Linked DNA regions of Arabidopsis thaliana. The protein of the gene in region 1 interacts with the protein of each later gene in a pairwise test. Each region holds a gene or a part of one and is shown in the gene's direction. Other genes may lie near its edges. The genes, in order: CAM7 and AT2G18750.

Region 1 (3,926 bases):
CGACTAAAAAACCCTTTATACCTTCAACATACCTATAACGAAGGGAAGTCAATCATAACAAAAAGAACAGAATGATCCATACCAAAAAGAAGCTCTATGATATAATACTAAGAAAAAGCAAACACCTTAACCTCAACGCAATAATCTACCATCAAAACAATAACGGGAACAAACAATAGATCAAAGCTATATATCCGGCAAGTCAAAATTCCTCTGCATTTCTCGCATTTCACACATACCTATTCAAAAAGAGCTACCATCACAAACATAAAAAAAAGTCAGAGAAGCCTCCAACAATAAGAAGTCAGAATACAAAGGGAAACATATAACTGCACTGTTTATTAACAATTGTCTTGTGAATTCGTGTTATACCGTTACTTAATAACAATTATAAACTATAAAATATAATTTTTCTTTAAATAGATACAAGTTGTAAACCTTAATATATACTAACGTTAAAATCGCCTAGACCAACGTTTGGACATCAATATAGAATATCAGGTTACATCAATGTATCAAATTCAATATGAAATATCAAGATACCATAACAATAATACAGAAATATCAAATTCAATATGAAAATCTGATTTTTGCTTTACTATTAGCAGAAAATTCATGATCTGGACATAAGTAGTTAGTAGATTAGCCTAAGTTAGTAAAAATTAAGTTACAAACCTAAAAAACAAATTTGTCACAAAACTAGAATTTTTTTATTTTTTGGAATACGGGTTAAATCTTTAATTTATTATTTTTAGCACCACTTATCAAATCAGTCTGATTAGAAAAGATTATATAAAATCAAAAAATATTTTGTGGTATAGTGCTACTTAATAATAATTGTAAACTATAAAAATAATTGATGACAATTATATAAATTTTTTAAAAATCGTAAAATCAACGCAATTGGCGGGAAATTTTTCTACAAAAATTTTCTACTAAATTACGGAAAAACCGTAAAATCATTCTCAATCGTCTACTAATATTTATTGTCTAACCATTTTCTTTCTTGTGTTATAATTTTGAAATGTGATAAAATAAAGAGAATTTATAATAAATGATTATAGATTTGAAAAGAATGTACAAACTAACCTTGAGTCACAGTAGCTTGTCGGAAACATATTGGAGAACACATGTAATTACATAAATATCCTTTGTAACATGTTTTTTTTCCGAAATACATGCGATAACATAATATCTCTTTTTATCTTGTTATTTTCTCTTATTACATAGTATTTATAAAAAGCACATGGTATTTTATGGAAAAAACATTCTATTCAGTTTAATATCTCTTTTTATCATGATATTTTGTAGTAATACACATTTTTTATTAAGATCACACGTGATTTCTTTAAAAATATATTCTTATTTTTTAGTAATACACGGTTTTATTAAAATCACATATAAATTTTTTTTAAGGATTATGTTCATGTAAGAAAATTTCATAATAATGTTTTTTCTTAAAAATTCATGACGTTTTTTTAAATAGCATGTTTTAAAACTAAATATAACATGTGAAATTTTAATGTTACATGTTATTTTGAAAAATTACACGAATGTGTTTCGTTTACAGTTCATCTTACAACAAATGAAAGGTAGCTTTGTTATTTCATTTCTTCCGACAACATGGGTCCATGGTTATTTTGTAACAAAAAACTTTCTCTCTACTAGTTTCTTAATTTGTATGTTTTATTTGGTTATCTAATATTACCCTAAAATAAACTTAGCAAATAGAAAATGAATTTTATCAAATTGCCTACACCAATGTTTGGATATCAATGTATAATATCAGGTTACATCAATATATATCATACCAAGATACCATAACAATAATACAAAAATATCAAATTCAAAACTATTAGCAGAAAGTTCATGATCTGGACATAAGTAGTTAGTAGATTAGCCTAAAATAGTAAAAACTAAGTTGCAAACCTAAAAAACAAATTTCTCCCAAAACTAGAATTTCTTAATTTTTTGGTCTGAGAAATTAAAAGAGAAAGACGTTTAGGAGGGCAAAATCGTCAATTCAAAAATACCTCATTTTACCTGTAGCTGGTGAGATCTCATTTTATAAAGGAGAAGGAACATTCACTCTCACGCGCTTCAACTTTCTCCAGAAACAAGAAAATATCACAGCAAAAATTTTCTCGAGAAAATCCGAAGAAGACAAAAAAAATGGCGGATCAGCTAACCGATGACCAGATCTCCGAGTTCAAGGAAGCTTTTAGCCTATTCGACAAAGACGGAGATGGTCTCTTCTTCTTCTTCTTCTTCTTCTTCTTCTCTCAGATCTCTTTCTCTTGTCGTTTTTTTTTTAGATTTCTTCGCGGTGATCGTGAATCTCTGCACATTTCGTTTATTGTTTCATGTGATTTGAAGAACGATCTCGTTTTGATTCGTTCAGTCTTGCTCACATCTCCAGAGTGTTTAGGGTTGATTTTTGCTTCTATAGAAGGATCTAGAATATGTAGAATCTCCTTTAGTATATTCGTTGATGATTACTAAGATTTGTAGTTATGGAATCTTGTTTAATTAGGTTATTCATCATATTCTAGATCCTACATTGGAATCGTACATTGGAATCTAGTTGTTTCTCTGTGATTTACTATGATTCTGAACAAATCCTGTGATTATAATCATGCGGATTTGTACGTTCTCACAAAATTTAGTGGCATTGTGGTTTTAAGATTCAATTGTAACATGTAGATTTATCTGCAGATGTTTATACTCAAAATCTAAAAAACGAAATTTGGTTTATTGTGTGATGTTGCCAAATAGAAAAATAGAGAAAGAAGTTGATAATATCATCTCTGTTGTTCTTCTTTACAATAGTTGAGAACTTGCAACGGTGTGCATTTTGTGATGCTTATTGGCAATACCATCATATTTAGAACATTGTGCATTTCCTGGCCTTTGATTAGAAAGAGGCTTTAAATGTTGCTTGGTGGTTTGTGTGCAAAAAGTTTCTTTGTTAACTTGGTAGATGTTTCCCGAACAATCAGTTTTACTTGTCGTATACTATGATTGGGGTTTAAGAGTATTTTACTAAGAGCATTTTTGAGCTTTCTTGTGAGAATAGGTGCATTTCCTGGCCTTTGATTACTAAGAGAATAACATCATATTTAGAACATTGTGCATTTCCTGGCCTTTGATTACTAAGAGAATACCATCATATTTAGAACATTGTGCATTTCCTGGCCTTTGATTAGAAAGAGGCTTTAAATGTTGCTTGGTGGTTTGTGTGCAAGAAGTTTCTTTGTTAACTTGGTAGATGATTTCCGAACAATCAGTTTTACTTGTCGAATCGTCGTCCTTTTAAATGAGATATACTATGATTGGGGTTAGTAGTGTAAGGATATTTTACTAAGAGCATTTTTGAGCTTTCTTGCATTTGAAAACTTGACATATTACTTGTGTTTAAGATAATTGGTTTATATATCTTCCTGATCTTGTTGACAATATTAGTGTTCATAAAGTTATACTCGGAACTCTTGCGTTACAAAATCTGAAGTTGTGTCCAATTTTGGTTTGATTGCAGGTTGTATCACCACAAAGGAGCTTGGGACTGTGATGAGATCACTTGGGCAGAACCCGACAGAAGCCGAGCTCCAGGACATGATCAACGAAGTGGATGCAGACGGGAACGGGACAATAGATTTCCCAGAGTTCCTGAACCTAATGGCACGTAAGATGAAAGACACTGATTCAGAGGAAGAGCTTAAGGAAGCCTTCAGGGTTTTTGACAAGGACCAGAACGGTTTCATCTCGGCGGCTGAGCTTCGTCACGTGATGACAAATCTTGGGGAGAAGTTGACGGATGAGGAAGTCGATGAGATGATCCGAGAGGCTGACGTCGATGGTGATGGTCAGATCAACTATGAAGAGTTCGTCAAAGTCATGATGGCAAAGTGAGATTCTTCTTATCCCTC
Region 2 (3,926 bases), on another chromosome or scaffold:
TTATTGGTCTGACACGTCTTAAGCTTATCTCTTTTTTGTGACGTAAAAGTCTGTTGTGGACCTCATATGTAGACTGTCTTGAGCCTTTTATGTTGTAACACTGAGCCTCAGTATATTAAAAATAAATCTTTCTCTGAAAAAAAAAAAAAAAAAGTTAAAAACCTACGCTAAAAAATTCTAGGTCTTGGAAAAGAGTATTTGGGCCAAATGATCACATTAATTAGTTATGGGCTGAAATAACATTCTGAAGTTTTATGAGGACCGAGAGAACTAAGTTTAAGAAAAATGTTGAAAAAAGCGTATTAGCAGAGGGACAAACGCTTTTTAGGGTTTTAGATTTCCTCTGAGAGAGAATTTTCGAAAGCTTGAGAGAGATTTCCAACTACGTTAGCCATGGCGAGCACCAAAGTTCAAAGGATTATGACCCAACCTATCGTACGTTTCTTCTTCGATTCCTTTGTTCCATCTCTTTATTGTTTCTATCGAAACCTAATTTTGTATCTTGCTTTTTGTTTTCCGGTGGCGGCGGCTCCAGAACTTGATTTTTAGGTTTCTTCAAAGTGTAAGTTGTTCAATTTCTTCTGATTTGCTCTCTGAGGTTTTAGGTTATTAGTAGTTCGTCTACTGATTTGTTCCCTGGTCTTTTGTGTTTGTGATGCAGAAAGCTAGGATCCAGATTTGGCTATTTGAGCAGAAAGATTTGAGGATTGAAGGAAGAATCACTGTAAGTTGATGTTGAAGCTCCGTTATCATGAATTGATTAGATTCCTGGCTTTGTTTATAGGACATTCGAGGGTTATGCTAACTTTAGGAGAGTTTGAAATGCATTAGCAGTGTGACTATCTCTCTAATTTAGTCTGTGTTTGAACTGTTGCATTTGTTGTGAATTGAAAAGGGATAGTTGTCACTGTTACTACTACTGCACAAAGAACTGATAAGAGCCTGCCAATAGAAACTAGTTTGATTAGCTAGCTGTTCTTAGGTTGAGTATGATTGTGTCATTCTCTTCGGCTTAAAACTTATTGTCTCCTACAGCCTACTTGGCTTTGGGTGTTACTTGTTTCAGTTTGTTGCTATGCTTGTAGTTGTATGTCCTCTATGATTTTCGAGTTATGATTCAAGCATTCAAGCTTTTCTTAGTTTGATTCTATGATAATTTGGAGAAACTTGAGATTTTGTGATGGTGTCATTCTCATTGGCTTAAAGGTTTGAGTTGTCTACTTGACTTTTGTTGTTCCATGTTGCAGTCTACTTGACTTTTGTTGTTCCTCGAGTTAAGATCCTAGCTTTTCTGAGGTTGATTATATGTATGGAGGAACATGATATTTGTGATAGTGTCACTCTACTCGGTTTTAAACTTAGATTTTTGTCTACTTGAATTTGGGTGTATTATTGATTCTTCTAGGAGAATCCATCAAACCTTGCTTATCCGTCGTCCTTTGCAGGGTTTTGACGAATACATGAATCTAGTTTTGGATGAGGCTGAAGAAGTGAGCATCAAGAAGAACACCAGGAAACCACTTGGTGAGTTATCCTGAACTCACTCTTTGATAACAAGTCTCAGATCTGTCTGCTTATGGTTTGATAACTCGTGTTAATACCTATTTTCAGGAAGGATTTTACTCAAAGGAGACAACATAACTCTGATGATGAACACGTAAGTAACACAATCTCTACTCTGTCTTCTCTCTTTATGATGTATAGCAGCTTGATTTGTCACATAACAAAAGATTGAAACAAAATCCTTTCTATGTTAACAGGGGAAAGTGATGTCTGTCTCAAACAACTCTCTTCGATGACCTTCAAGCTTATGTTAAATATCTGTTGAGTTCTTCCTCAGCTTAATTGGTACTTGACGATACCTTCTTTTCTTCAATGTCGTATAATATATTGCAATGTAGTGAGTGACAAAGGAGCTTGATCGAATCTAGTGGATTGGTTGGTTAAAACTTCAAAAAAGAGATTTGGTCCCTTTTGGTTAAATCTAGTGTTATGTAATTTGGCTGATCTTTGTTGCAACTTTTTAACCTCTGTTTAAATTTCAAACCTTAAAAAAGTAAAACCAATTGATTTTGATTATAAAAAAAATTGTATCATTTTTGTTTGTTTGGTGAACTGACCGAGTTGGCCATTCTCAGGGCTCAAGTAGATTGAAAGTTTAATTATACTAATAGACCAATCAGAATATAATCTGTTAAAGTTAACATAAAAATACAGAAATCTATGTGAACATTAACTTTTCATTGCAATTAGATGTTTTTATATCCATGTTGATTGTTGAATCTTATCCCTAATCTTGCTATTGGTGAAATGAATGTATTTTTACTATTAAAGTCTTTTTTTAATAACAAATAATTGGACTTTATACAACAAAGTATTATTATTTAATTATCAACTTTAGAATATAGCATGTGCCAAAAATACATACACTAGCCGCCGGCCCAAGAATGTCGTCCAATAAACGAAAAGCAAAAGTGACGGCAATCCAAGCCTACTGTGATCTTGTCCGCACCCGATAACTATCTTTAATTACTAAAACTAGTCAAAGTACTCGACTAATCACAAAACTAGACAAGTGTTTCAAGTAAATTAATTTTTGATCTTTTCATTTTATCTCTCTCTCTTTTTCTTCTATCCAAAACACCATTTTTGAGGTATTTTTCTCTCTCCTTCGAATCGAATTTTCAGGTTTCTCTTTCCGTTTGTTTGAAGAAGCTTTTAAGTAGAATTCATAAAATCTTGCTTAGCTTCTGGGTTTGATTTGTTTGTGGTAAAGTTTTGATTTTTTTTTTAGTTTGAGAGCTGGATTTGTGATTCTTTCTCTGGGTTGGTGAAGTTTTTTACTTGCTTCGATCTTATAGATCAGAGCTTCTAGCAGCGTAAAAAATGCAGACGAGGTATATGGAGAGGACTAATAGTATGAGAGAGAAGAGAAAATTGGAGGAAGATGATAATCAGCAGCAGCAGCAACAGCCTGAGCGTAAAAGGCCAGCTCTTGCAAGGTAATTTGTGTTGATGCTTGTAATTTTTCTGATTATTGATTATGGCGTTGTTGAATCTGTAATTGATTTGTAGTTGTATGAATGAAAAAAGGGTTGTTATGTATATTGATTGTCTGTGGATTTGAGAAAGTTGTGTATGTGTTATTGCAGTGTAATTGTGGAAGCCTTGAAGATGGATAGTTTACAGAGGCTTTGTTCTTCTTTGGAACCGATTCTTCGCCGAGTGGTTAGCTTAATAAGAATTGTTTACATGTCTTTTGGTGCTTTGTGTTGTTTCTTTGGCTTACTGATTTGTTTTGTGAGCATTGTCAAACAGGTAAGTGAAGAGGTGGAGCGGGCATTGGCAAAGCTTGGCCCTGCAAGACTTAGTGAAAGGTAACATATGACTGTTTTAAAAAGAGATAAAATTAATGGTTGGAGTATTTGTGGTTTTCTTCTAATGCTTGAGTTCACAGGTCGTCTCCAAAACGAATTGAAGGTATCGGTGGAAGGAATTTGCAGCTACAATTCAGGTCTAGATTGTCTGTTCCTTTGTTTACTGGAGGGAAGATAGAAGGGGAGCAAGGTGCTGCAATCCATGTTGTACTGTTGGATATGACAACTGGACATGTTTTGACAGTAGGACCTGAAGCTTCTGCAAAGCTTGATGTTGTTGTGCTTGATGGTGATTTTAACACTGAAGATGATGATGGTTGGAGTGGAGAAGAGTTTGAGGGTCATTTGGTGAAAGAACGTCAAGGGAAGAGGCCTCTCTTGACTGGTGATGTGCAGGTCACGTTGAAAGAAGGTGTGGGAACATTAGGGGAACTTATCTTTACGGACAACTCAAGTTGGATTAGATGCAGAAAATTCAGGCTGGGTTTAAGGGTCTCTTCGGGTTACTGTGAGGGAATGCGTGTACGCGAGGCAAAAACAGAAGCTTTT

Evidence for each region.
Region 2: the proteins of CAM7 (region 1) and AT2G18750 interact in a two-hybrid assay, tested with the Arabidopsis thaliana proteins (one study listed by BioGRID).

The regions. Positions count from the first base shown.
Region 1 is NC_003074.8:15,664,602-15,668,527, reverse strand, and holds the start of CAM7 (calmodulin 7), read left to right. Parts: upstream 1-2,058; 5' UTR 2,059-2,172; coding exon 2,173-2,248; exon of another isoform or gene 2,249-2,894; intron 2,895-3,047; exon of another isoform or gene 3,048-3,535; coding exon 3,536-3,905; coding exon of another isoform or gene 3,906-3,909; exon of another isoform or gene 3,910-3,926. UniProt on the Arabidopsis thaliana protein: Calmodulin mediates the control of a large number of enzymes, ion channels and other proteins by Ca(2+). Among the enzymes to be stimulated by the calmodulin-Ca(2+) complex are a number of protein kinases and phosphatases. Activates MPK8 in vitro.
Region 2 is NC_003071.7:8,122,941-8,126,866, forward strand, and holds the start of AT2G18750 (Calmodulin-binding protein), read left to right. Parts: upstream 1-2,187; 5' UTR 2,188-2,654; exon of another isoform or gene 2,655-2,861; 5' UTR 2,862-2,886; coding exon 2,887-3,002; intron 3,003-3,152; coding exon 3,153-3,228; intron 3,229-3,318; coding exon 3,319-3,377; intron 3,378-3,457; coding exon 3,458-3,926. Other genes in the region: AT2G18740 (Small nuclear ribonucleoprotein family protein), read left to right, coding at 394-435, 536-562, 662-724, 1,446-1,524, 1,612-1,657, 1,761-1,770. UniProt on the Arabidopsis thaliana protein: Transcription activator that binds DNA in a sequence-specific manner, likely 5'-GAAATTTTGG-3', to promote the expression of target genes.